7 linked regions of the Macaca mulatta genome follow. The protein of the gene in region 2 binds, or shares a complex with, the protein of the main gene of each other region. Links are inferred from orthologs where the notes say so. Each region holds a gene or a part of one and is shown on either strand. Other genes may lie near its edges.

Region 1 (3,977 bases), on a different chromosome or scaffold from region 2:
GCCAGCCATTCCCTGGACTTCTGCGCTGCCGGGGACAGGAGTGGGAGTGAGCTGAGGACTATTTGGACGTGAGGCTTCCTGGGATTGGGACTGGGCTAGGGCAGGCTTCGGCAGAGGTGGAGGCGTGGAAACAGCAGGTGGGTTCTGGAGCAGATCTTCAGGTGGTGGCACAGGCACAGCCACAGGGGGTGAGCTCCATGCCTCCTTGTTCACCAGCAGAACCTCAATGGGACCACTCACACTCTTCAGGTGAATCTGGTACTTCTTCTGCCCATTGAGACCCTAGAGATGGGTGGTAAGGGATGGGAGATGGGTAGAATTGGAAGCAGGCTTGGCTCCTGCCCGACTCTGTCAGGACCAGTGTCCTCTCCCACCCAGGATGCCCATCCTCCTAGATAACCCCAAACTCCAGGCCTCCCCTACCTGCCCCACCCGGGACTTATCAGTCTCCACAGCCAGCACCCGCCCTCAGCTGACCCCGCCTGCCTGGGCTAAGCACCCACCTCTGGGATGGGCACCTCCAGGCTGGTGCCTGATGGGGCCCGGATGGCCAAGAGGGTATCTCCTAGAATGACATGGAGAATGGGTCAGAGCCCATGGGCTCAATCTGAGCTGGGAACAGAGGTGCCTGTCTTTTGGAGCAAGGCAGGAGATCATGGTCTCTGAGGGACTAGACAGTGGACCTCACCCATTCCCCATAGTGGCTGGGCAGAGCTAAAGCTCTTCTCTTCCTGAGAGCCCAGAGTCAGTAACCAGGAAATCTGGGTTCAAGTATGTGGAGTCAAATATCACTGGCCACAGGCACCTCACTCTTCCACCGATGGCTGTTCCCTAGGTGAAGGTATTCTAGCCAAGGCCAACATCCCTTTCCCATGACCAGTCAGGAGGATACATGATGGAGAAGAAACACATCAGCGGGGCACAGTGGCTCACACTTATAATCCCAGCACTTTAGGGGGTTGAGCGGGGAAGACAGCTTGAGCTCAGGAGTTCAAGACCAGCCTGGCAACATAGCAAGACCCTGTCTCTTTTTAAAAAAAAAAAAAAAGGAAAGAAAAAAAAGGAACATATCCTGCATTCACAATGCAATTAAACTAACAAGTTGGAGGTGGGCACCCCCATGCCCTGCATGTAAGAGCCTGCACACAAGCAAATACACACATATCCTCTCTCCCTTTCTCCCCCTTGTACCTCTATCATACTCAAGAAGCCAAATCCAGGAAACAGTACAGTTGGGAACAGACCCAGGAACCCACTCCAGAATTCCTGTACCCTCTTGGTATAGCTGACCTCCACAGGGTCCCAGTGACACTCAGACAGAAGACTTACCCTGCCTGGTTCCTCTCTGAGCAGGCCCCAGAAACCCTCTTAAGAGACGGAACTCTCCTGAGACACTGAACCCAGTGCTCAGGGATTTGGTTGAGCCCAGCCCACCCCCTCACCCCTACCCAGGCTCTGCTCACCAGCAAAGCATCTGCAGATGTCCTCATGAGTGACGTAGGCCAAAGTGTGAGGGTTAAGGAGAATGGCCGATGCCCTATGGTGACAGATGGCAGACTACAAAAAAGACCCAATTCTTTAGCCAAGGTCTGACACAGAGGCCCCTCAGAGAAAGTTCTGGGGACTCAGGTCCACTGGGGGAGGGATCACAGGCTAAGACTGGAAGGGGAGAGGCTCTGAGGAGGGAGCCTGAGGCTGGGCCATGGCCAGGGGCCACAGGACAAGCTCCCAAGAGGAACAGGGAGCTTGCCCAGGGCAAGTTGAACCAGAGGGCCCCTTGCCCACTCCCCCCAGGAGGGAACGCCAGGAGGATATCAGCTGTTCTGCACGTCCTCTGTGACGTTCCGGATGCTCTGCTGCACCCACACCTTGTGCTGGTCTAGTTCTTGCTCCCGCTGCTGCAGCTCCTCGATCTCTGCCTTGAGCTCAATCAGCTTGTCGGCAATCTCCCGGGTATTGCAGCCAGGCCCCACACCCCTGAGCCCAGGGAGTGGGGCTGAGAGGGACTGCTGAGAACTCTGGGTCCCACGGCCCCTGCCTTCTTTGGCACCCTCCACCCCACCCCCGACACTTCTGGGTGGGAGACTCTACTACCCTCCCACTATCCCCACTCACTTCCACTGGATGCTGTTCTTGGACTTTTTCTCGATCAGCCCGATACCTTCCAAAACATTGGTAATGTCGTAAATCCGCCGCTTCTGGCGTACAGCTAGGGTGTCAGCTGCCTGGCAGACAGAGTGGAGAATGCTCAGCCCCACTCTCGGGTGTACCCCCAGCCACCCTGAGACGTGGTCTGGGAAGGGAGTAACCTGGATTCCAACCCTGTAGTGCCTGCCAGGCGCTACTGCAGCTCAGGCCCGCAGCTCTGTCCCATAGGCAGCTCTTCTCCTCGCCAGCCAGGAAGGGCCACGAGGACGAACACCTGGAGCCCCGAGCCTGGCCCATAGCTGTAGCTCAATGGCCTCGGCCGAATGAATGAAACATTCCCCGGCTTCTCTCCTGTGAGAAAGCACACGATGGCGGCCGGCTCTCGGAGGACCCAGCTGGGCCGCCCCCGGGGTTCCCGCTACCGGCCCAGGCCTGGTCCACCATCCTCCCTTGTCGCCCCTTAGCCCGGGCCGCACCAGCTTGAGGTCAAGCACGCCGTCCTTGGCCTCCTGCAGAAGAGACACGAACTTGGTGGTGAGTAGTCCCAGGCTCTTTTCGTGCCGGCTTGGAGTGCCCGGGGGCGGCGGCGCCTGCGGCCCGGCCTCCGCCATCGCGTCCGCCCGCCGCCTCCCCTCAGCCAGGCCAGGCCAGGCCGGCGCCGCCGCCACTTCCGCTTCCGTTCCTGGCCGTCCGGCAGCCGGAGCCAGCGTTGCTGCTTCCGCTTCCGCCCCGTGCGTCTTCCAGGGAACGCGGCGCTATTGCTGTCTGTGGGTGCAACCGCAAAACTTCAGGGACCATTAGCAAATGTCCAGCCGCCGAATAAGACGAAAACTACCTGGGTAGACCGGGAGTTGGGATGAAGTTAGGGAGGAATGAGGAGGGCGTCAGTGGGCAGCCCTGGCAGTAGAGAAAGGGATGCCATCGGAACTTTCCTTGCCAATCTGCCCCAACATCACTAACTCTGCCCAGTCCCCATCTCGGGAGACAAGACCACACTACCTGACTAATCCAATCTGTTCCCTCAAATCAGTTCCTTTTAAATTTTTTTCTCTTTATTTATTCTTTTATATTTCAAACTCATTTTACTGCCACATCAAAAATGTTCCTAAAGGTTCCCCTACTGTCTTGGGGTCACCCCATCTATTCCTGTCCCTCACTTCCTGCCAAACAGCAAGCACTAACTATATCTACCTTGTCCACCTCTCTCCATCCATGGTCCTAGCCTCATCTTTCGCTCATCTTGTCCTCCCGCTACAGTGCTCAGAGACTATGGGGTTATATACACTTCAGCCAATGCAAACGTATTTACCTATGTGTATATATCAGTAAAGCACTCAGAGTCATTTCTGGCATGTAGGAAAGTTTGCTAGGGTCATTTTGTTACTTGTAACATTGTTACTATTTATTATTGTTTCTTTTAGGTCAGGTTCTATGGGAAATGGGACTCGAGACAGGGTTTTGCAGCAAGTTTGTTGGGGATCCACACTTCTTTTTTTTTTTTTTTTTTTTGAGACAGGATCTCACTCTGTTGCCCAGGCTGGAGTGCAGTGGCAAGATCAATGCCATCTCAGCTTCCTGGGCCCAAGCGATTCTCCCACCTCAGCCTCCCAAGTAGCTGGGACCACAGGCATGCACACACCATGCCTGGCTCATTTATTTTTAGTTTTTGTAGAGATGAGAGTCTCACTATATTGTCCAGGCTAGTCTCGAACTCATAGGCTCAAGCGATCCTCAGACCTCATCCCAATGCTGGGATGACAGCGTGAGCCATCACACCTGGTCAGGATCCACACCTTTAAGGGAGTAAGACAAGCAGAATCGGGCAGATG
Region 2 (4,152 bases):
TTTGACAGTAGTGCATGCAAGCTTCTCTTAATTCAGCTCCGCTTAATTCACTCCGCACCTGCATCTGATTTGCAAAAGATGAAGTGTAAAATTTCAAAATAGCAAGTGTTTGTTACAGTGTTAACATGCGGCTCAGTGCTCTATGCAGTAGACCATGCTGCCTTGCAAATTTTCCTTAGCCAAGTCTAATTGTCACTGTAGCAAATCTACTTTAATGCTACTTGAAATGAACAGTTCGTAGTTATTAGACTGGAACCTCAAGTAGCTGCAACCGCTAGAAACTCCTCCGGTGGTTCCCCCCTCCCCGGTCTCTCCAGAGGAAAGAAGGTCGTCTTCTACACTTAACTACCATGCTTATTCATCTGGACGAAACGCTCAGTCCACTGTCGTCTTCACGGGTTATTCTCCAGTCCGGGCTTCTCCGCCGCGCACGTTATTTCCCGTAGAGCGGACACAAAATTAAGCACCTTGAGGACCAGCGGTAGACACGGATTATCTCCCGTTCCAAGCACGTCTCCCGCTAGGAACTTTTTTCACTTGTCACGCTTCAGCTGCTTTTTGAGGAAAACAGGTGATATTTGGTTTCCTGCCAGTCTCCGTCACTCTCGTGGCTATGATGTCTGGGTAAAAATAGCTCACATTTTTGCTTAAAAAATAACGGCAGCGCAAATTTATGGTTAGGTTTGTCTCAAGTCTGAAAATCGCGCCTCCTAACTAGTGAGACGGAAGACACCTAAGGAGCGAGGAGCTGTGGCCGAGGCGAGGCTGCGGAGACGTTCCCACACTGGGCCGCGGGACCACCCACCTCGCTAGAAACTCAGTCCTCTCACCCTAAGAAGTTTGGGGCAGCTGGATGACTCCACCGCCCGCTTCCGGACCCGCTCCAGCGCCGCTTCCGGACCCGCTCCTCGGCTAGCGCAGGAACTTGCTCTCCCAGCAGGCCCCGCGCGGTGCGCCTCTCGGCGCGTTCCGGGTCCTGTGACAGCTCGGCCCGCATGCCCCACCCGCGGCCCCACCCGCTGCCCCACCCCCTGGCTCCGGGCTCGTTCCCCGACTCCCGCGAGTTCCAGTCCCAGCTTCCAGCTCCCCAGCCCCGCCCTCAGCCGCGCGCGCTCTCCCCGCCCCGCCCCCGCTGCTCCGCGTGCGGTCCCCACAGCCAATGGGGTTCAGGGCCGCGTGCGCAGATTCAAACGGCGGCTCTTGAGGGAGGCTGGGCGCGAGATTCGGCGGTGCGGACAAAACCCTGCAGGAGACTGCGAGCCCTGCAGAACTGCTAGCTGCGGGGAGAGGGGAGGGTCGGCGCCTGTGGCGGAGCCGGTCTGGGACCGGGGCGGGGAGGCTGACAAGCGGCGGGAGAAGCCGGCGGAGGGCGGGATCGCGCCTCCTGACATGTTGGGGGCATCCCTGGCAGGGCCGGGCCGGGGCTAAGAGCGGCACTGCGGGCCGGGGTCGGGGGCGGGTCGCGGTCCGCCCCCGCTGTCCCTCCGTCCTACCCTGTCGAGGACGTGCGTTCCGCACTCGGCAGTCTCCAGAGGGAGCGAGGGAAGCTGCTGGAGAATCAGGGAGAAGGAGCATTCGCCGGAGGCTGGAGGAGGCTGACCCGCGTCCCCGCCCAGCCCGCTCCTATGCGGTACTTGAAGGATGGCGAAGAGGTCGCGCAGGTGGGTGGCACCCCTTTCGCTCAGGCCTGTCGGCGCCGTCTCGACTTAGATTCTCTTTCCTATCCCACTGCCCCCTCCCGCCATAAGGCCCTCCCCGGCGAGGGCAGAGGTTTTTATTCCCGCGTGCCCGCGGCCGCTTGGCCTCGATGGCCGGAGCGCAGCCGCGACGTGTGGAGAGTTGGGGACCAGGGTGTTTGAGGCGCGGGACGTACGAGATGCCCAGGTTTCTCCGTGGCTCTCCTCACAGTGCGTGTCCAGGCTCCTGACCTCACGCTGCCACTTCTTCGGGGCAGGTTTCTTGCCAGGTAAGTCGAGCGCTTTTAGGGAGTTCGCTACGCAGAGAAAACTGGCTGTGTCCTGCCAGGAGGACTTGAAAATGGTGTTCGGGCGACTCTTTTCTGAATGACAGTACAGTCAAAATAGGAACTCCGCGGTGAACCTGGGCAGCCACCCCTCTGCCAACCTAGCTATCTTGAAACGTTGTGGAAAATCCTCTGGGGAATAGCTGAGCGAACCTTTTCGATGTTTTCTGTAATTTCCATACCCATATTCTCAGCTTTATGTATATATGTATATTTTAATATCCTCTATTGGGACCATGTCACATAGTAACAACTAGTAGTAACAGCTAGTAGCTTGATCTTAAAATAAAACAATGTGTTTGATTCACTTAATATTTTGAGTGTCTGTGTTTGACTCTGACCGTACCTAAGTGTTGCACAGAGGTAAAGCACTTTTTTCCACCTTTGCCTGGAAATGTGCTAGGATGAATTTATGTGTCTACTTTTTGTTTACATGCCATTACAGCAGCTACTCATAAATTATGTGGAGTAATTGCTTAGATAACAAAAATATAGGGTGTCTTCTGATTTTCAGCATTATCAGATAAACCTGAAAAGATGTTTGGCAGAATTTCCAAATTTTTTTTTATCTAGATCCACAGCCCCAAAATCTTAACTAGAGATGTGTTTCCTAAGTTGAAATTTAGTAATGGGGGTCATTCACTGCAGAGTTCTGCTAAAAATTGGCAGTAACTATACATAATTGTTTTTTGCTTTGTCTGTTAAATATCTGCTGTGTGCAGGATGCTTCTGCAGAAATCCTTAAGTCCCGGTAAACTTACTAGTTTTGTACTAAGTTATAGGACAAACCCTTGAGATGATATAAATGTATACACAGACCCCTCTAAAACTGTTTTCAACCTTTGCACTATTGACATCTTGGGCCAGATAATTCTTGTAATGGGGAGATGTTTAGCAGCATCCCTGGCTTCTACCCAGTAGAGATAGGAACACTCCACTTCCCTCAGTCATGACAGTTAAAATGTCTCCAGACATTGCCAGATATATTTTGGGGGACAAAATCACTCAGGAAAGAACCACCCCTCTAGAACTTCAAGGACCCAATTAACATCAATCTTCAGAAAAGATAGATATTTAAACCTCTTGTAATTATGATTGCTGAAGTACTGGTTTAGGCTTTTTGAATTTTTAAATTTAAAAAAATGTAAAAATAAGATGACAATTGAATATGTTAACTCAATAACAAGTTTATTAATGTGTGATATCTACTTATCAGTATTGCTGTTAATCTTATTTGAAACAGTTTCTTGGCTAATTCTGTCATCAGCATTTAGTTAAATTAAAATTATGACTAGACATGAATGTTTAAATGTCAGAACCTTCCCCTCCCCAAAGGGTTTTCTGTCAATTTCATATGTATGAAGTGTATGTTTCATAATAATAGACAAAGGAGAAATAACTTAATGTTAGTTTGCCTATGTAAGTTGTTTTATTGAGAATACTGTGAGCTTGAAATCTAAATATTGTACTTTTGACATTTATCCCTTGCCAGTTGTGTAAGTTAATTTAAACATGATAGAGTGATTTAAAGAGTCAAATCTTGAGTAATTAAATGTGGTGGGGTGAAGCTACACTGTCCCTGGGAGTATACAGATAGAGGATGTGGGAGAAATTATCATCTCTGAATGATGTATCTCTTAAGTCTTCATACTTGAATGTGTTTCATACTCTAAATTACATTTCTTGCATACGTAAATATGATTTACATATCTTAGACGATAGTAGATGCTCTGCTTTTGTGCTTCAACCAAAAACAAAAGAAGATAGCATGTGAATTGTTTTGAAGCAAAAATAATGTAGTCATTGGGAAAAATCTCTCTTGCCTTTTAGCTAAGTATCTTAATATATTTGAACTCAATTTATAGCTGAAAGGGAAAAGAAATAAAAGTTACTTCAGGTTGTAATTTGAGATCTCCAGTATACAACCATTTAAGCGGTCAAGTGAAAACTATACTTTGCTATATAAAAGTTTTGCCTAAGAGCATAGGCATAAATCCTGTAATATACGTTTCCTATGTGATCTGAAAAAAAAAAAGAAAAAAGAAAACCTAAAAGTAGAAAACTAAGTGTTACCTCAAGTGTGAAACAACTGCAGGACGTTAGCTGTTTTGACCTTTAAGATAGCTGTA
Region 3 (4,094 bases), on a different chromosome or scaffold from region 2:
TTCTCTACTCTATCAAGATCTCTTAGAAAGTATAAAGTTAAGTCAGTCATAGCATTATCCTGTGCTTCAATAAAGGGTTTAAAAGATAATCTATAATGTTCTATTTTGGCTCTAGAAAATTCACAACTACTTGGATGGCAGAGAGAAAACAACAACAACAAAAAAAGAAAGTCTACAACTGCATCTTTCCTAAAAAGAAGAAAAGAATTAGTCTTGTGAGAATTTTACCGTGCTTAGATGATAAAACGGAGCGGGAAGCTCTTTTAAACAATTTATGCAAAGAGTAGACTCTGCCTAGTTTATCTTTGGTCCTAAAAAATATTTGTTGAAAAATTCCATAATACTAAAAAATAGTTATCCTCAAAATTAACATCTCGTGGCCATATCTTATAGGGTCAAATAGATCTGGTTTCAAATTCTGGCTCTGCCATACAGTAGCTGTAACACAGTGGGAAAATTACTAAACAGTCTCAGAGGCTGCATTTTTTTGGCTGAGGACTGTAAGAATGAGTTATAGGTTAAAAATGCACAGAAAATACAATGAATCAAATTAAATTTCCATAACCAGTATTCTGTATTAAATATCATAAGAGCTTTATTTCCCCTTACACTCCCATGAGAATGACATCCCACATTATCTCACAGCGTAGCTCACTATAAGCCCCACAAAGGCAGGTATTTTTAGGCTTTGTTTGATGCTCTATATCCAGCACTGAGAACAGTGTGTAGCACTGAGAACAGGTGCTCAAGAAATATTTGATGAATATTTTACTGAGTAAATCATTTACTGAATAAACTGGGCTAAGAAGCTGAAACTAAAGTCTCAGTAATCAAAAGAATTGAGTAATCAAACATGTGTTTTCAAAAATAATTTACTAACCAGCTCTTACGTGGTATTTGCTCATGTATCACTGGACTTCATACAACTTAACCACTATGAGTTGACATACCTCAACTAAATGGTGATAACGCTTGTTCTATCTAATTTACAGGATCATCCTGAGGGTAAAATAAAAGCTTGTTTAGAAGCCTTTAAGGCCCTTTACCAAAGAAAAAAAAAAAGCAAAAAAAAAAAAAGTCAACCAGTCCTTCTCTTTGCCAGACTACAGAAAGGCACTGAGAGACGGACAGGAACATAGTTTACTCAGCCAGATCATGTAAATATACAAAGAGCTTAGGAAACTTGAAAGCACCGTCCATATGGGTGCTTTATGTGCCAGAAACTACATTGTTGCCTTATTTAATCTTCAGAACAGCTCTGTGAGGTAAACACACATATCTCCAGTTTAGAGATCACAAAACTCAACTTTCCAGCGGTTAAGTAAATTGTTCAGTCACCCAGGTCTGTCGGGTTCTAAAGCCACCATACACTATCTTTCTTCTGCAGATATAACAATTCAAAGAGGGAAATCGTAATTGAATCAAAATTCTATTAATGCAAATACAAATTTAAAATAACCTCACTCATCAGTACACATAGCCAAAAACATCATATTTAAATAATACCTTGGTTAGGCTTTGCATCCTGGGCCTATTTGCCCCCCTCTTTATCCAAAGTAATTATAAAACTACTTGAGAAATTAAATGGCCTCAGGTTTAAATGCCACACACACACAGTAGAAGAGCTGATAAACAATCCGTACTTCCGTGTCACTTCCCATTGGCCCATGAAAGGGAGGTGCCTACAGAACTAACAGTCACTGGCTAGAATGGCCATTTTTCTCATCCGCAAGCCCAGTCCGAAGGCTGCGACCTAACACGCCCGGATCCCGACAACAGGAGTCCTGTGCAATGCCCGGGGTGACCAAAAAGCCCTCGAGGTAGCCACAATCCTGAGCCTAGTGACAAATGGGAGCATGTATCTATATACGGGTCGGCGGAGGGCTCATTTCATGTGGCCTGGGGGAAAATGAGTCTTAATTTGTTTACACAGACGTAAACACAGACCAAAACGCATCAGCTCGTTGACTCTAACGCCAGCAACGTCTGGGCAAAGGCAATTTGGTTAACAGGGGGAAGCGAACAGACGGAGACGCCTGGAGACCCAGGTGCCACAGCCCGGTTAATCGCGGTGCAAATAAGGGCAAGTCCCCTCCCCTTCTCCGTGCGGTCTTGATAACGACACTAGTTCATTCTACTAACAAGGCGGGCGGGGGGTCAGATGGGCCACACACACCCATCTTCCTCATCGGGACCCCAGCGCGATCTCAGCTTCCCTATGTTACTTTAGGGCAAAACGCGTTCCCCATTCGGAAGCCGCGGGGAAGCGCGGCGAGAGCAGGTTCGCCCTCGGAGCGGCTAAGTGCCTCGGAATAGCGCAGAGGGGGTCCCCACGCCTCTCCCGGCTGGGATCCCGCAACCCGCCCGAGGGTCTCTCGTGGCGCGCGACGCGGCTCGGAAGGCACCGGTTCACGCCGACTAGGCCGGAAGCGCCCCTCCGCCCGCGAGCGCACCTCCAGAGTGTAGCTCTCGCTCATGCTGCGGTAGCTGTCCCAGGCCTCGGCCCGCGCCGCCTCGTCCATGTTGAGGCGGCTGCACAGCTCGTCGAACCGCTGCTGGATCTGAGGGGTGGGCGACTCGTTAGGCGGCGCGGCGTCCTCCGCCTCGCCGTCGTCCTCCTCCTCCTCATCCGAGGCTGCCGCCGCCGGAGGAGGAGGCGGGGGCGGCGGCGACTGGTCACCTCCCGACGGCATAGCGCACCCCTGGGCAGCCGGACCTCAGGTGAGGTGAGGGCCCGGGCCCGCAGCCATTCAAACCGCGAAGCGCCCGCCCGTCCGCCGCCCGCTCCGCGCCTGCGCCTGCGCCGCTGCCAACGACGCTGACCTCCTGCAGGCACCCGTAGTCTTGAGCACGGCCTGCTGGGAAATGTAGTCCAGGCCGACGGTTCAAGGGGGCCAAAAATCATGTTTAAAAAAATTAGCTCGCCTAGTTTCACCAGGGGTGAAATAAAAGCACCTTCCCCGCATTTTAAGCACATACCTCCCCATCGTGAGAACATTCAACAGGGTTGTACTGACGAGAAAATGTCCAAAAGACACTGACGTGTGAAGGTTTCGCATCCAGGCTGTTCCCAGAAGTAAAACTTCCTCATCGCCTGGATATCCTTATCTAAAAAACCAGGATAATAGCAAGGGCCTGTCTGTGTACCTTCACGAAACTGCCTTTGCAAAAATCCTAACAGTGAGAAAGTTACCACTGGGAAAGGGATCTGACCTAAATGACTCCATGCTTCTCACCTCCGAGCTGCACTTGTTCATTCCCAGGCGAAGACCCAACTAACTACAGGAGGAATTTAATTTGTAGTTTCACTTTGAAGCAAAGATTTTTACAGCGCTTTCCCAAAACAAACCCCCTTCTTGCCTGAGGATCAGTCTGCCTTTGTAGAACTAACAAATTAGCCACAAGATTAGAAATTATGATTTAGGAGTCTTGCAGCCAGAGGCTACAAGATTCCTAACCTCCCCAGTTGTTCTCAGGGATAACATCACTATTGTAAAACCTAAGATTGGTGCTGGAGATACTTTTCAGACCCCGCATTCCGATGCATGAGCTGGCGCCACTCAGACCATAATCTGGCTCAACCAGTTCTACAGTCCCACTCAGAAACAGAAGACAGCAAGAGCCCACTTCAACCCCCTAAGATTTCACCTCCCACCTGACAAATTAGCATTCGCCACTCCCTGGCCCCCTACCCGCCAAGTCATTCTTTAAAAACCCCAGTCTCCGAATTTTCTGGTAGCTGACTCTGAAGGGCAGACAGTCCTTTTTTTTTTTTTTTTTTTTTTTTTTTTTTTTTTAATTTGAGACAGAGTCTGGCTCTGTCGCCCAGGCTGGAGTGCAGTGGCACGATCTTGGCTCACGGCAACCTCCGCCTCCCGGGTTCAAGCGATTCTTCTGCCTCAGCCTCCTGAATATCTGGGATTACAGGTGCGTGCTACCGCGCCCGGCTAATTTTTATATTTTCAGTAGAGGCAGGGTTTCACTATGTTGACCAGGCTGGTCTCGAACTCCTGACCTCAAGTGATCCGCCCGCCTCGGCCTCCCAGAGTGCTGGGATTACAGGCTTGAGCCACCATGCCCGACCAATTCATTTT
Region 4 (4,194 bases), on a different chromosome or scaffold from region 2:
CCCTCCTCCAGTTTCATTAATAATACCTGTTACTTTGCATTAATTCCATATAAATTAAGTATTTATGTATACTTGATTTGTGGCACTGTATAACAAAGAAAGAAAATCCCTGGTTTCAACAAAGCTGAAGTCTGGTTAAACAAGATATACACACGAATACACATCAATGTACCAGAGATGTCACAAAGTAATATAAATGATTAGGTTATATTAATTTGAAAGTGGAGCTGGAATTTGAACCCTAATATAAATCCCAAGTCCCTACAAAGAACCACAGTAAATTCTCAATAAATGTTGGATGATATGAAGCAAATATTCCCAACGGCAGTTGTAAGAAAGCCACATAAAACACCTCTCATTACAACAGAATGACTGCAGTAACCAAAATAGGAGCTCTAGTGATTGTGACATCCAAGAGGTGATAAGACATCTTTATGATAAAGATACCAAGGATGACGAAAAACATTTTCGGATGACAAGTACACTGTGCTTAGTAGGTCCACACTCATTTGGGAGCATTCAAAGTCACAATCAAGGCCAGCCACGGTGGCTCATACCTGTAACCCCAGCACTTTAGGAGGCTGAGGCGGGCGGATCACCTGAGGTCAGGAGTTCGAGACCAGCCTGACCAACATGTAGAAACCCCGTCTCTACTAAAAATACAAAAAAATCAGGCGGGCATGGTGGCTCATGCCTGTAACCCCAGCTACTCGGGAGGCTGAGGTAGGAGAATCGCTTGAACCCGGGAGGTAGAGGTTGCAGTGAGCCGAGATAGCGCCATTGCACCCCAGCCTGGGCAATAAGAGTGAAACTCCATCTCAAAATAAATAAATAAATAAATAAATAAAATAAATCACAATCAATTGTATTCTACAAATAAACAATACAACTCATGACTGGTCAATAGCTGTTCCCTATCCAATACAGTGGCTACTAGCTACATGTGACTATATAAGTAAAATTCAAAATTCAGTTCCTCCATCACTCTAGCCACATTTGAAATGTCCCGTATGGCTAGTAGCTTGGCTACCCTATTGGCCATCACAAAAGAGAACAGTTCCATCACGGACAAAGTTCCTTTGGTACTTAGTGCTGCTCTCTATCAAATTTAAAACACAACACTTTTAATACGACTTTTCACCAGCTTGGCAACTTGAACTTTTATTTTAACTTTATAACTTATTAAGAATACATGACCTCACAAAGAAAATGGAATCGGTATGTTGAGTTCTCTTTTTCAAAGTCCATTTACCTTGTGCATAGATAGATTCAATAGTGATTGAGCCTTTCACAAATATGTATAAACTGAATAGTGAATGTGGATTCAGGACTTTTTTGTAATTAACTAACATATTTGCCTTTTCATATAATTTATGCAATACTGTAAATTACAAAAGTTCCATTGCCCTTAAACTACGGAATTGGTGCTTTTACTTACTCAACACAAGTGAGTATACACGTCTTAGATGTCAGGGTGAGTAAACACGGATAGGTGAGGCAATGCCCTAGGGTGGGTGTCAGGCAGGGTACTGCACATGTACGCTGTGTTGGTCACATCCATACATAAAGGTACCTTCATGGCTCTTAAGACACATATAGAATAAACTCTGCGGGACGGGGGCTACCTGAACACTGAGTATCCGGGCTGGATGATCTCAGGAAAGGTCCACAGCCACCTGTGGTCCCAGGGGAAGGGGCCAACCCTCTGACACGGAAACACTTCCAGGGGTGGACACACCGGTGGGGGGGCGGGGAGGACAGTGAAGATCACAAGTGCCCGTAGAGGCAGGAGCTGTGACAGGACAAGATCAGAAGCTGGGGCAAGAAGAAGGGGCCGTGGACCACACCGTGCCCAGCCCGAGCCCTCCCCCGGCCCCGGGACAGGCGAGTTACATAACCCCGGCGGGCGTCTCTCGGCGCCGGGCGAGTGGTGCAGGCGGCGAGGACAGCCCCCGCGCCCGGGGGCCGCTCTTCCCCCCACCTCGGCTGGGGGCCGGAGTCGGGCCAGGGGAGCAGCCACCGCCTCCGCCTGGCACAGGCTGGACTCCCGGGCTCTCGGTTTCCGGCCCTGGCGCTCACACAACCCCAGAAACCAACACACAGACACCATAACAAAGGCGGCGACGCGGCGGCAACACCGGAGTGGGAGGACTAGGGGACCACAGTGGGGCTGGCAGTCAGCCCACCTGCCCAGCGGAGGGCACGGCCGTCCGTCCCGGCCGGTGCAGCCGTGGGGCAGGCAGCAGGCGGGAAAAGGCGGGGGTGCTTTGAGGTGCTACTCACTCTCGTCAGGCAACTGGTCGAGCTCCGCCATCTTGAACGAGCCGCGCCGCTTTTTCAAAGGCTGCCCGCCGCGGTGCATTGTGGGGCGGAGACTGTCTTTGCGAGGGAGGTTCGAATGCGGAGCTCGCTGCCCGCGGCGCTGCGCCGCGCTGCTCCCGCCGCGGCTGGCTGAGGCGGGCCGGGCTCCGCCCGCGCCTGCCTGGGGAGGAGGTGCCGCCGAAGGGGGGCCGCACCTCGCCCCTCCGCCGCCGCCTCCGGCCGAGCAGGGCGGGAGGAAGGGAGAAAGGAGGCCGCGCGGCGAGGCCCGGCGCCGGAGCGCTGGGGGAGCAGCACCAGCTCCGGAGTCCCGCCCGGGCCCCGCTCCAGGCGCGTGTTCCGCGGCCCGCGCTGCAGCTGCGGGAACTGCAGGCTGTTTGTTCCGAGTGGAGAACTGGAGGGAAGCCCTGGCAGGGGGAAAGAAGCCCTCTGTTCTGGGACGCATTGTCCGACGGGGCTCTACGCAAAGTGAAATATTCACGGTTCCCGAAACCCATATTGCTCGGGCGCCTCCGTCCCCTCACTTTTCCCGAGAGCGCCGGCTGCAGCAGCCCACTGCGCGTGGCGACGTCCGGGACTCGGCCCCAGCGGCCCCTCGCCGGCCGGGCACGCCTTTCCCGAATGTTGGAAGCTGAGCTGCGTGCAGCGGGGGAGCGAGACCTTGAGAGGTCATGAAGTTGGTCATTTAGGCCGACAGCTAAAGAACTGTTCTGCTCAGCTGTTTCATCCATTCGACACTAGATCGTGCAGTGGGCTGGAAGAGAATTAGGAAAGGAAAAACAGGAGGCTTCGAGAGGATACAGAAAGGAACAGTGACACTACAAGGTGATAAACTACCTGATCAAATGTTACGATGATATTGGACGAGAATTCAACGAAATTGAAAGAAGCCCTAGGAAAAAAATTCACAATATCTGTAACACTTTCCAGTAATAAAGCACTGTTGCTTTTCAAAAATTCATTTAACAAATGTCATTGAGCTCCAGTCCTTTTCTCCAGGAATTTATGGGTTTGGAGGAATGGGACCGCTAAGCAAACATGGGTGAATCCCAGGAACTACAAAGTTAAAAGGCGGTTTACTAAGATGACACAGAGGCCCGCCCAGGCTAAGGAGTTGAACTTGCTTAGTGCACTGGAGCAGTGGAAAAGTCGGGTTTTACCTAAAGATGGGGTATGTTTCTATTTGTGTTTTCGAACAAAAATATGGGAAATGGATTGGTGGGGGACAAGATGAGAGCCTAGAAACCAGTCAGGAAGAAGCTTATTTGGGGCATACAAAGGACAGAAGAGAGATGACTGCACTGGTAGCTAGAGAGGTGCAGAGGGTGGGCTCTGGAGCCCCAGGGCCTCGATGGGAAGAATCCAGATGGGCTGCTAGTTGTATAATCTCCGGCACGTTGGTTTCCTAACCGAATTCTCTGTGCCTCAGTTTCTTATCTGTAAAATGCAAGTAACAGAGTTGTTTTGAGGGCTAAATGATTTGATAGATGTAAGGACCTTATAATAGCTGCTAACACCCATCAGTTAGCCACTACCACCACCATCACCACAGCATAGGCAGTATTAGAGAGAGGTGGCAGCATGCACTCCACCTTTCAAGACGTGGAAAATAAAGGATTGAGTGAGTCACTGGGTGTGAGGAGAAGGAAGTTTCATTGCTGATGCCAGCTTTGTGCCTTGGGTAACTGGGTGCTGCTATGCTAAGGTAGGAGGGAGAGCAGGGAGGGTGAAAGTTCAGTTTTACAAAGTAATCCTTCAGAGCTAGCTTAACCTCTCCTTTGCCTTCTAAACACACTCTGATCTGCTCTCTAAGAAGATTAAAACACTGGTCCTTGTTGTCAGCACCTGGGGGGCGGGCTGCAGCAGCTTGCACTT
Region 5 (4,098 bases), on a different chromosome or scaffold from region 2:
CCTATCTATGTAAACTGTTTAACTTGGCTGAGAGAAAGTTTCACTGAAAGTTTTGGCAAGAAAGGGGACAGCCAGTCTATGGAAAATACAAAGAGCCACACTTAGGGAAAATAATTCGGTAAATGGCTGCCTTTGGTGAAAATCTAGAGTCCACTTCTAGAAGAAAATTCAAAGTTCATACACTGACCCTCGCCCCTCACGTTCCCCCTCCCTCTTACCTCGGATCACCACGGACAGTGAAGTAGGGTGGGGGAAGGGAGCAATGGCAACGTGGACGCTCAAGGCAGGGGACAGAATAACCAAAAAGAGTAGTTTCTGGGGGATAGAGAGAACGCTGGTGCAGAGGTGAAAGGGAAAGACGGTGGGCGGATGGAGAGATGAGGGCAAGAGACTGACAGCAGGGAGCGGGCAGAGCTGGAGAAGGAGAGTGGGCGAGAGCCAGAAAAGAGGAGGCTTAGGAGTAAAAGGGTAGAGGGCCAAGGGTAACAGCCCAGGGTTGGATCCGGGACGAGGGAGGGTATGAAGTGAGGGCTGGGCATGGGACAGGGCCCACAGGTTAGGTAGGAGGTCCGGCCAAAAAGGGGTTGGGCCAAGAAGGTGGTCCCAGCCCGAGGACGGCTCAGGGAGCGGACGGAAAGGATCCAATTCCTAGCTTCATGGTGCCTTGGCGCCACCCTCACTCGCCTGCAGGATCCTGGCTCGCACTGCCGCCGCCGCCGCCGCCACTACCGCCGCCATGGCTCTCGGCCGCCCTAGCTCCGCAACCCGCTCCTCTACAGCTCAGACGCACTACAGCTGCCAGGCCTAGCCCTCCATCCTGCCGGGCTTCCTCATTGGTGGGGAGGACTATTTTCTTCAGCCAATCACTCGTCCTAACACCTGATTCCTCCTCTCACACCCCAGTCCTGGGGATAAGTGATTGGTCAGGAGCGAAAATGCTCGCACCCTCTCCTACCTCAGCCAATGCCGTTGGCGGAGGTAGAGAAGACGCCCCCGACTTGGACACTCCATACTGAGCACACGGAGGAGACGCCCCCTAACCTGGAACTCCGATTGGCCAAGGACGCAACCGAGGCCCCACCCCTTCACTGAGCAAAGTAAATAAGACCCTCCAAGAATTTTGCTGTCGCTCCACCTCAACAACTGCATAAGGGGCGTGGCTATGATGAGGGGAGGGGCTGGGCGAAGATTGCCCTATGAGGCGAGGGAATGAGACGTGGCTGCGAGTTGGGGATAGGGTTTCTCTTTGGGGGCGTGGCTTATGGATCCTCGTTTTCCCGCCGACGGTTGGCCACGTCACGTGACATGGGTTGGAAGATGGCGTCTCCCACAGACGGTAAGAGCCGGCTTAGGGATGTTTGCCTGCAGCCTCCTTCTTTGCTGTATGGGGAACATCCACTCTGTCTCTGCCCCTCGAACATACATTTCTTTCTTGGGCTCTTCTCCTTTCCCTTTTGTTTTTTTTCTTGCGATCCATCGCCGTCTTCAGCTCACCGGTTCTTCGCAGCAGCTTCAGAGGTGCCCAGTTTCCCTGCTCTGTACCAGGCGTGTGGAGGAGGGCACTAGGGAGGGACTCATTCTGGGTAAAAGGACAGGGGTCGCCCTGGCCCTTCCTTATCTCTATTTGGGCGAGGCTGAGGGTAGAGGAGGAGATGTTACTGGAGGACGTGCCTTACTGTAGTTTTCTCCTTGGGGTATCCCATTGAAAGGATCAGTTCTCTTCTGATTGAGCGCACAGATGGAACGATTCTCAAACCCTCGCAGGGGCTGCTGGCTGACCCCATCTCGATAGTGAACCGCAAGAGAAACATGATCTCTCTCCTGTCTCCTCAGTTTGGGACCATTGCCGTGGCAGCAAGAGAAGCGGGGGACGTTCTCGGCCCCTCGCCGAGAGAGTCGCGAGGAGAATGAGTATTGAGCTTTTAAGTGTTGTCTTGCACAGGTCGCAACCGCTCTTTCATCTGCTTTACGTGTTGTTTCTTAAGGCTGAGTGAATGAACGATTTCTGTTTATATGTTGTGTAAAATGCAAGTCATCTCAAGTAACAAGTTGTTTTGGTATACTCCCATGCTTTTGCTTTTGGTTCTGCTTTAGAGAGGGTCTTGCAGTCATTTTTAAACTCATTTTTAGTTCTACCATCCGCATCCCAACTATATATCGATTTTATTGATATATAGGTTTCCCTCCCTTAGACAAACAGATTTTGTATTTGGAAGGAATCTTGGAAGTTCATTGCAGGAATGAAGAAATTGAAGCCAAGGTGAGCTGTATTGAGTACCTACTACATGAAAGGCATAATGCTAGGTGCTTTGGGAGACCAAAAGATGACTCAAACATACACACTTTTTTTTTTTTTTTTTCCAGTTTCAGTTCTCTTTTTAGATGTCACCTCCCAAAGAGTCTTTCTTAGAACACAGTATCTGGAGTTGCCCTTCCCCACCATTATTCATTGCCTCAGTATCTTCCTTGTCAGCATAGTTACTATGTTAACTTTGCCCCTTGTACGCTAGATTATAAATTACAAGTTTGTCTTGTTCATAGCTGGATTCCAGGTTTAGCACAGTGCCTGACGAACAGTAGGTCTTTAATTAACATGTATTGAAAGATTGATTAGATATGTGCAGAAATAATATATTACTTGATCTTAAGTTTTACGTTTAACCGAGTCTTAAATTTTGTGAGCACAGGTACATACTGTGTTAGAAATTATGGCCGGGCGTGGTGGTTCACACTTCTAATCCCAGCACTTTGGGAGGCTGAGGCAGGCAGATTGCCTGAGCTCAGGAGTTGAAGACGAGCCTAGACAACATGGTGAAACCCCATCTCTACAAAAAAATACAAAAATTATCTGGGTGTGGTGCCGTGCACCTGTAGTCCCAGCTACTTGGGGGGCTAAGGCAAGAGAATCACTTGAGCCTGGGGGTGGAGGCTGCAGTGAACCATGTTCATGTCACTGCACTCCAGTCTGGGTGACAAAGCGAGACCCCGTCTCAAAAAAAAAAGAAGGAAAAACAAGAAATTTGGATGTTTGGAGTCAAAAGAGATTCTCCTTCCTGGGTGCTCTCTTGCAAAAATGTCCTTCTCTCGCCAGAAAGAAAGGCATTTAAAAAGGGAATAGGGAGTTATTGTTAATGGGTACCAAATTTCAGTTTGGGAAGGTGAAAGTGTTCTGGAAATGAATGTGATGATTGCACAATTAATGTACTTAATACCACTGAACTCTATACTTAAAAGTTATTAAAATGGTAAAATTTATGTATATTTCACCACAATTTTTTTAAAAAGCCAAGTGATAGAAATAGAGGTAATTGTTATTAAATTTTTTAGTTTATTTTAAAATTGTTTTTACAAATTTTGGGGATTTTAGAGATGTGTTCCTTGAGTTTGGTTTTTTTTTTTCCTTGTCTTCTCTCAATTTAGTTTCCTTTCTTTGGCCAGGAAGAGTATTAAAAATGTTAAATTTTTTTCCTTTGGTCTTCTAGCCATCCCTATGGTCACTTTATTTGCACTCTTGATTTTTAAAAGTCTTCATTCTCATCTCTTACAAAGTTTTACTCCTCTCCACCTAATGTTTTCTTTTAATCTGAAAAAATCAAGTCAAGCACTTTGAACTTAAATTCAACGTCTCAGTAAGTATCTCATTCCAAAATATTCCATGGCCTAGCTCTCTCACTTCTATTTTTAGTGTTCCACCTGTCACTGTCTTTAAAATTTAATTCAGATAACATTGACTTGAAAATGTTTGTCATTTACTCTTTTGTCTTTTTCGTGATAAATTTGCTGGAGCTTCTTTGAAAAGGAGAAAACTGAAATTCAAATACAGCCATCTAATTACTTAATTTATGAGAGTAAGACTCACAGCAGAGTCTGAGTTCTATCCCAGACTGTGGGATAAGGTCACCCATGTAGGTTATTAGATTGTACCCCCAATAATTTTTTTTAAAATTTTCTTTTAGAGACAGGGTCTCTCTCACTCTATTGCCCATGCTGAAATGCAGTGGTATGATTATAGCTCACTGCACCCTCAAAGGCTCAAGCTATCCTCCCGTCTCAACCTCCCAAGTAGCTGGTACTATAGGCTCACACCACCATGCCCAG
Region 6 (3,500 bases), on a different chromosome or scaffold from region 2:
CGAGTCTCCATCACCATGGCTGCCACACCATCCCCTCTGGGAGGGCTCGAGCACACCTCGGCCAGAGCAGCAGTCAGCTCTGCACTGAGCACCTTGCACACGACCCCCTCCACACCAGACACGGGGCCCCCAGGGGTGCCGCCCACCCTCAGCACTCAATGGGAGGTGGGAAAGGCCAGCTCCAGGGCCCTGATCAGCACTGTCAAGACCCAGGTGCATTGCGCCCACCACAGTTTTACATGCCTCGCCTGGCACCTGGGCCTTGGGTTAAGCACCTCTGAGGGGATTTTTCAAATGCTGCTTTTGCATGAAGTCATCCCTCCATCTGTCTTTTGGCTGTTTAGACACTGTGACGAGGGATACACACATACACATGCACACACACAGGCACATGGATGCAGGCACACACACGCAGGCACGCACACACATGCGTGCACACACACGCAGGCACACACGCAGGCATGCACACACATGCACACACACAGGCACATGGACGCAGGTGCACACACACATGCACACACACACGCACGCATGCATGCATACGCACACACATACACAACCTCGCTCTGGGAACACGGCCCACATTCAACACCTATGAGATGAACTCACACTCAGAATCTTAAAGCAGTCATTTAATTTGCCACACAGGAGCGTAACCCAAGGCAGTATGTTGCTGTTATAAAACTAAATTAGTAAAATAAAAATTACCCTGCCTCCAAAGATATGTATTCTCTTACCTGTAGAATAAGTTCTTGAAGTTGAGACTGTTTCTGTTTTATTCTTTCAAGTCTCCTCTGTCTTTCCACCTTCAAAAACAAACCCCCCATGTAGAGAATCATCACGATTGTTCCATACAGTGCATTTTACAACCCGCATCCTCAGTGTTACCTATGTTTACCTTGAATGTAATCGAAGGGATATGGACAAATCTAGACATAGCAGGTGCCACAAAATACAGGTGAGTTTTTCTTCCATTTCTAAACTATACCTTTTCCCCTCTCCTCTCATTTCTTGGATTTAACTATGGTATCTAAAAAGAAAACAAAAATCCCACAAACTAGGATTCACAATTAACCTATGCTAGAGTTTAACACACTCTAGTGGGTCTGGACCAACCATGCTCCCTCCCCTGACAGCCGAGACTGAGAAACGCAGGGAGACGTCTGCATGACCGTCTGCCAGCCGTCTGGACACAGAGAGCATAAGGGCATGGAGCCCAGACCCTTCTGAGTGACGGACAACAAACACATCTACACAGACTTGAAGGGAAATCAAGGTTGAAGGGCCACCTCTAAGTTCTGACATTCCTGAGCCGAGTTGGTGGGCAGACCAATCCACTTGATCTCCTTCTTCTCCTTGGAGATGATGTTCATGGCCATCAGCACGTTTAAGGCATCGTAGACGCGCCGTCTTATGTTCTTCTGGTCATAAGCCTGCGGATGACAGGGAGTGGATTTTCCAAATGATCCAAAAAAGCCTGTGGATCCCACCTTAAACTGTAGGCCACGCGCACCGGCTTGAAGGGGCACCCCGCTCACAGAGCTGTCACCCCAACACGTCCTCAGGGAGCACTCCCACCCTACAGATGATGCAGGGCAAGACAGGGCTGTGCGAATCCCGGTGTGTTCCAGGAGGGGAGCTGGGGGCCCTCTGGTGTCGAGCCCAGCTGGCGAGGAGGGCACGTCTGCATTTCTGGGCCGCTGGATGTGCAGAGCCAGCCCACGTGCTCGCTCACTGACGCTGACAGAGCATCATGCCAGCAAATGGACTGGGAAAAATTCTGTCATGCTGTACTTGGAATTTTCTGTATGGTTTTAACTGTTCCCAATATTAAAAGAGTAAAACGTGCCACACCACTTGGTTCCGCTACCCTGGCCTCTCGGCCCCCAGCACACACTTACTGACTCGTTTGGTAAGATGTGGTTGTCGGCAGCACTGAACTCCGCGACCAGCTCGTCCGCCACTTCGTTGTAGGAAGTGGTCCCTTTCCTCTGCACCTTCTCGCAGACCTTCATGGAGAAATGCCGCAGGCCCTTGCCATTCTTCTCTCCTTTCCTGTTGCGCTTCCTTCAAAATACAAAGGAAAAAAGAAGCGACTGTCAGCCCTCCTGAGCATCAGTCTGAATCGAGGAATGCTTTTACCTGAGAGCTCTAATGAGCTGCACAAAAAGGGGCCACATCCCACGGGCGCAGCAGATCCAACACGTGAGCAGGCCAGGACCACCTAGCCCCAGCCCCCAGGCCCAGTGCTCCTGCAGGTCAGAAAGCGAGTGTCTCCCTGGCAGGCTGCACCTCTGTCCTTCCAAGTGTCAGGGAAAACGGGAGGCGTCCCCAGGACCCGAATCAGCATATGGAAGGCCTATCAGTACTCAGCATATGAGAGGCCTATCAGTACACCAAGCACTTCTTTTTTTTTTTTTCTTTTTTGAGATGGAGTCTCGCTCTGTAGTGGGCTGGAGTGCGGTGGCACGATCTTGGCTCACTGCAACCTCCGCCTCCTGGGTTCAAGCAATTCTCCTGCCTCAGCCTCCCAAGAGCTGGGATTACAACAGGCGCCCGCCTGCCACCACACCTGGCTAATTTTTTTGTATTTTTAGTAGAGACAGGGTTTCAGCATGTTGGCCAGGATGGTCTCAATCTCTTGACCTCATGATCTGCCGGCCTCGGCCTCCCACAGGGCTGGGATTACAGGTGTGAGCCACAGGCATCACTTTTCTAAAGAGGGCAACCAGAATCAGGAACTATGGGACATTTCAGTGTACATTTGGGAATTTTTAGGACAAATTTCAGCAGGCTATAATTTCATACGGCTTGGGCTGTGATAGCCGCTTGACAACAGGTGCAAACCACTAAGTGTTCTTCACACAGAGGGAAAGCCCAACTCTACACTCTGGTCAGTCCCCACGTGGCGGGAAAGGTCACCTGCGGTCCCAGCTGGTGAAGCTTTGGGCACCGACACAGGTAGGTTTTTGTAGCTTTGCATGTGTGTTTTTTTAAGGAAAGACACAGCTCATCAGATCTTGCTTTAGTGGAAGGAGCCACTCTGGTGGGACCACTCACGGGGGCCGTAACCCCAGGGGCAGTAGAGGCTGCATTCAGGGGCAGTGGGTGAAATCCATCCCGCGTGCTCCCAGCACAGACGATGAAAAGTCTCCAAGGTCCTGTGGCAAGTACAAGGCCAGCTTCTCCCCGTCTTGGCCAAGAGCTGCCAGCCCTTCCAAGAGCACCCACTACACCAGACACAAAGCAGGGTGGGCAGTGCCCAGCCCGACTTCTCCGTGACCGAGGCAGTGCGCCTCGACTGCACACCTGTGCGGGGCACGATGATGGGTGAGTGTGATTCGGAGGCTGACATCAATGCGCATGGGAGCCCCACCGTGCGACTGTGTCACGCACGTGGCCCAGGAGAACGTGGAGGTGCGAACCGCAAGCAATCCTACAACTCTAAGGGTCCGGAGGGAAGTGCTCACCCGGCAGACCAAGGTGAGGAGTCGGAAGGC
Region 7 (2,710 bases), on a different chromosome or scaffold from region 2:
AAAGCATGCTTTGTTTGTTATATCATCTACTGCTCTGTTGGCCAGACTTTCATTCACACTATGTTAACTTTCATCTCAATCATCTCAGCCTTCATGTGATTTGCTTATTGTGTTTCTCTAGTTTTCACTGAACACACAGTGCAAACAAAGGCAAAGACTGAAGCAATCATTTCAAAAACAAGAGCTCACACTACAAACACACATGAGCATCACATATTGAAACGTAGGCTTTCTCTTGTCTTTATTCTGGGGAGGAGGAATCCTCCTCATCATCTTCCTCATCTTCATCATTGAACGAACAGGGGGTCTCGCCTCGGGACTCGGAGCAGTGAGAGGCTGCACTGCTGGACTGGTGACTGTTTGGGGCCAGGAACTGCCCAGTTGCTAAGGCCACTTCTGCATCCAAGCATAACCCTTGGTTTACACTAGCAAACAATTAAAAACACACAGGCTCATTAATGTGGTATAAACAGTTTTGTAAAATATAGGAATAAAAACATAGGAAGGAGGTGCCATTGGTGAGATCTGCCACAAACCTGCTCAGCAGGACCTGTGCTGGCAGTAACATGACCCCGGCTCACCCCTACACAGACAGTCAGGGCTCTGGGGTTTGCCTTTCTAACCCTGAAAAAAATACGTACCTTGACTGGGGTAAGGTGGCACCAGTGTTCAGGTCTAAATTTGAAACTGATTGGGTAGAGTTCAGAAGTAGTCCCTGATTTAACCAAGAAGGTCCTGTGGAGATATCTAAAGGAAAAAATGAGAACAAAAAATGTCGGTCCTGCAAGTTTTGTGGCTGCTGTTGTTACAGTCTGAAGAAAGCACAGAAGAGCAAGAACTAAGCTTATTCTTCATGACAGCGAGACAATTCTCTTGCTGTGAGAAGAACCCAGGTTTCTTCATCTTCTTGGAAGAAAAAGAAACTCTAGAACACAAGAGCAGGAAAAAAAAATACGGGAAGGCAGCTTATGGAGAGAAGGTATTCAAATGAAAACACTCACAGGCGCTTTCTTACTCTTTTTCTTAGATAAGCCCTCCAGAGCACAGCCCATGGGATGCAGCCCAGTGTACCATCCTCAATGCCTGGGCTGCCCTCACCACAAAAGACCTGGACTGTGGTGTTGACAGCCAAAGCCAGAAGTGGGAAAAGAGAAAATCAAATCAGAAATACATGAGGTAAGAAGGCCACCCTACATAGAGGGCAGACAGATCTGTTTTGGCCAAAACCCCTGCCGCAGTGTCTTTTCAGGTGCCTGCTGCTGGTGAACTCAATGCTGCTACTCATCAAATACCTATTCTTTTTCCTGACAAGATTTTTCCTGGTATCCTTTGCTTTCTAATTCAAACTAGCTCTTATTTTTAAAAACTCACATGCAGTCATGTTTTTAATGAGGTGGAGACAGACATTACTGTTTTAGTATACAGAAAATATTTTGGGCTGGGCACAGTGGCTCATGCCTGTAATCCCAGCATTTTGGGAGGCCAAGGCGGGCGGATCACCTGAGGTTGGGAGTTCAAGACCAGCCTGTCCAACGCGGAGAACCCACCTCCACTAAAAATACAGAATGAGCTGGGCGTTGTGGCGCATGCCTGTAATCCTAGCTACTCGGGAGGCTGAGGCAGGAGATTCGCTTGAACCCAGGAGGCGGAGGTTGCAGTGAGCTGAGATTGCACCATTGCACTCCAGCCTGGGCAACCAGAGTGAAACTCCATCTCAAAAAAAAAAAAAAAAAAATTTTTTTTATATCTCCTTGCCATCTTCTTTTCTATACATATACCACATTTCTCCTATGACAACACTGATCAATTCTTATTGTAATTTTACTGGTTTAATACTTCTAATCTTCCCATCTACAGTGTCAGCTCAAAGAAGGCAGTAACTGGAACATGTAAGATCTAAATGTGGCCAGGCGCGGTGGCTCATGCCTGTAATCCCAGCACTTTGGGAGGCCAAGGTGGGCAGATTGCTTGAGCTCAGGAGTTCAAGACCAGCCTGGCAAACATAGCAAAGCCCCATCTCTATTAAAAATACAAAAATTAGTCAGGCATGGTGATACACGCCTGTAATCCCAGCTACGAGAGGCTGGGGCAGAAGAATCACTTGAACCCAGGAGGTGGAGGTTGCAGTGAGCCTAGATCGTGCCACTGCACTCTAGCCTGGGTGACAGAGCAAGACTCTATCTCAAAAGAAAAACAAACAAACAAAAAAACCCAAAAAAGTTACTGAATGAATGAGTATAGTTTTGCCAGCTGCCACTTTACAAAATAAGTGGTAGATACATTAAAAGTAATTCCTAAAAAGAAATTATATAAGCCCAAACACATACTCAGAAAATGTAATCTGCCAAAATGAGCTATGATTTAATTTAGTCAAAATCTTTTTGCAATTACTGTACAAAAAAATGAAACTATATGATTTAGATTGGAAACTCTGGTATCCAAACAAGAGGCCATTCCCATATAGGAAAAAAGTAAACTAAATGACTATGCTAATTTTAAAACCGTCTTATGAACCTTTTTCTTTGAGACAGCTGTGGAAAAAAAAGACTTCAAGCCTAAGAAGAATAGCAGACTTTAAATACATTAAATAACAACAAGTCTGTACAAGAAAATAACATTAATGCCAGAATCCTGTGCTGAATATTAATTAGTATATAGAACTATAGAAACCTTCTGTCAGAACACAACTATTTACTTGTTTGTGAGCATA

Evidence for each region.
Region 1: MYBL1 (region 2) and E2F4 share a complex: the UniProt entries of both Homo sapiens proteins name them as parts of the DREAM complex. The link is inferred for Macaca mulatta from reciprocal best matches to the Homo sapiens genes MYBL1 and E2F4.
Region 3: MYBL1 (region 2) and RBL2 share a complex: the UniProt entries of both Homo sapiens proteins name them as parts of the DREAM complex. The link is inferred for Macaca mulatta from reciprocal best matches to the Homo sapiens genes MYBL1 and RBL2.
Region 4: MYBL1 (region 2) and LIN9 share a complex: the UniProt entries of both Homo sapiens proteins name them as parts of the DREAM complex. The link is inferred for Macaca mulatta from reciprocal best matches to the Homo sapiens genes MYBL1 and LIN9.
Region 5: MYBL1 (region 2) and LIN52 share a complex: the UniProt entries of both Homo sapiens proteins name them as parts of the DREAM complex. The link is inferred for Macaca mulatta from reciprocal best matches to the Homo sapiens genes MYBL1 and LIN52.
Region 6: MYBL1 (region 2) and TFDP1 share a complex: the UniProt entries of both Homo sapiens proteins name them as parts of the DREAM complex. The link is inferred for Macaca mulatta from reciprocal best matches to the Homo sapiens genes MYBL1 and TFDP1.
Region 7: MYBL1 (region 2) and TFDP2 share a complex: the UniProt entries of both Homo sapiens proteins name them as parts of the DREAM complex. The link is inferred for Macaca mulatta from reciprocal best matches to the Homo sapiens genes MYBL1 and TFDP2.

What each region holds. Positions count from the first base shown.
Region 1 is NC_133425.1:62,734,175-62,738,151, reverse strand, and holds the start of E2F4 (transcription factor E2F4), read right to left. Parts: upstream 2,801-3,977; 5' UTR 2,760-2,800; coding exon 2,625-2,759; intron 2,500-2,624; exon of another isoform or gene 2,446-2,499; coding exon of another isoform or gene 2,310-2,445; intron 2,226-2,309; coding exon 2,116-2,225; intron 1,978-2,115; coding exon 1,816-1,977; intron 1,508-1,815; coding exon 1,464-1,507; intron 566-1,463; coding exon 504-565; intron 283-503; coding exon 1-282. UniProt on the Homo sapiens protein: Transcription activator that binds DNA cooperatively with DP proteins through the E2 recognition site, 5'-TTTC[CG]CGC-3' found in the promoter region of a number of genes whose products are involved in cell cycle regulation or in DNA replication.
Region 2 is NC_133413.1:77,305,320-77,309,471, reverse strand, and holds the start of MYBL1 (myb-related protein A), read left to right. Parts: upstream 1-1,428; 5' UTR 1,429-1,641; coding exon 1,642-1,661; intron 1,662-4,152. Other genes in the region: uncharacterized protein LOC144330579, read left to right, coding at 351-398, 814-1,428. UniProt on the Homo sapiens protein: Transcription factor that specifically recognizes the sequence 5'-YAAC[GT]G-3'.
Region 3 is NC_133425.1:48,916,137-48,920,230, reverse strand, and holds the start of RBL2 (retinoblastoma-like protein 2), read right to left. Parts: upstream 2,801-4,094; 5' UTR 2,694-2,800; coding exon 2,454-2,693; intron 2,163-2,453; exon of another isoform or gene 1,934-2,162; intron 1,821-1,933; exon of another isoform or gene 1,730-1,820; intron 1,620-1,729; exon of another isoform or gene 1,525-1,619; coding exon of another isoform or gene 1,507-1,524; intron 1-1,506. UniProt on the Homo sapiens protein: Key regulator of entry into cell division. Directly involved in heterochromatin formation by maintaining overall chromatin structure and, in particular, that of constitutive heterochromatin by stabilizing histone methylation.
Region 4 is NC_133406.1:84,065,587-84,069,780, forward strand, and holds the start of LIN9 (protein lin-9 homolog), read right to left. Parts: upstream 2,801-4,194; 5' UTR 2,765-2,800; coding exon 2,284-2,764; intron 1-2,283. UniProt on the Homo sapiens protein: Acts as a tumor suppressor. Inhibits DNA synthesis. Its ability to inhibit oncogenic transformation is mediated through its association with RB1. Plays a role in the expression of genes required for the G1/S transition.
Region 5 is NC_133412.1:147,266,493-147,270,590, forward strand, and holds the start of LIN52 (protein lin-52 homolog), read left to right. Parts: upstream 1-1,298; 5' UTR 1,299-1,305; coding exon 1,306-1,336; intron 1,337-4,098. Other genes in the region: ALDH6A1 (methylmalonate-semialdehyde/malonate-semialdehyde dehydrogenase [acylating], mitochondrial), read right to left, coding at 685-738.
Region 6 is NC_133422.1:107,853,264-107,856,763, reverse strand, and holds part of TFDP1 (transcription factor Dp-1), read right to left. Parts: coding exon 3,471-3,500; intron 2,068-3,470; coding exon 1,902-2,067; intron 1,434-1,901; coding exon 1,290-1,433; intron 807-1,289; coding exon 738-806; intron 1-737. UniProt on the Homo sapiens protein: Can stimulate E2F-dependent transcription.
Region 7 is NC_133407.1:44,932,519-44,935,228, forward strand, and holds part of TFDP2 (transcription factor Dp-2), read right to left. Parts: intron 748-2,710; coding exon 642-747; intron 426-641; coding exon 242-425; 3' UTR 1-241. UniProt on the Homo sapiens protein: Can stimulate E2F-dependent transcription.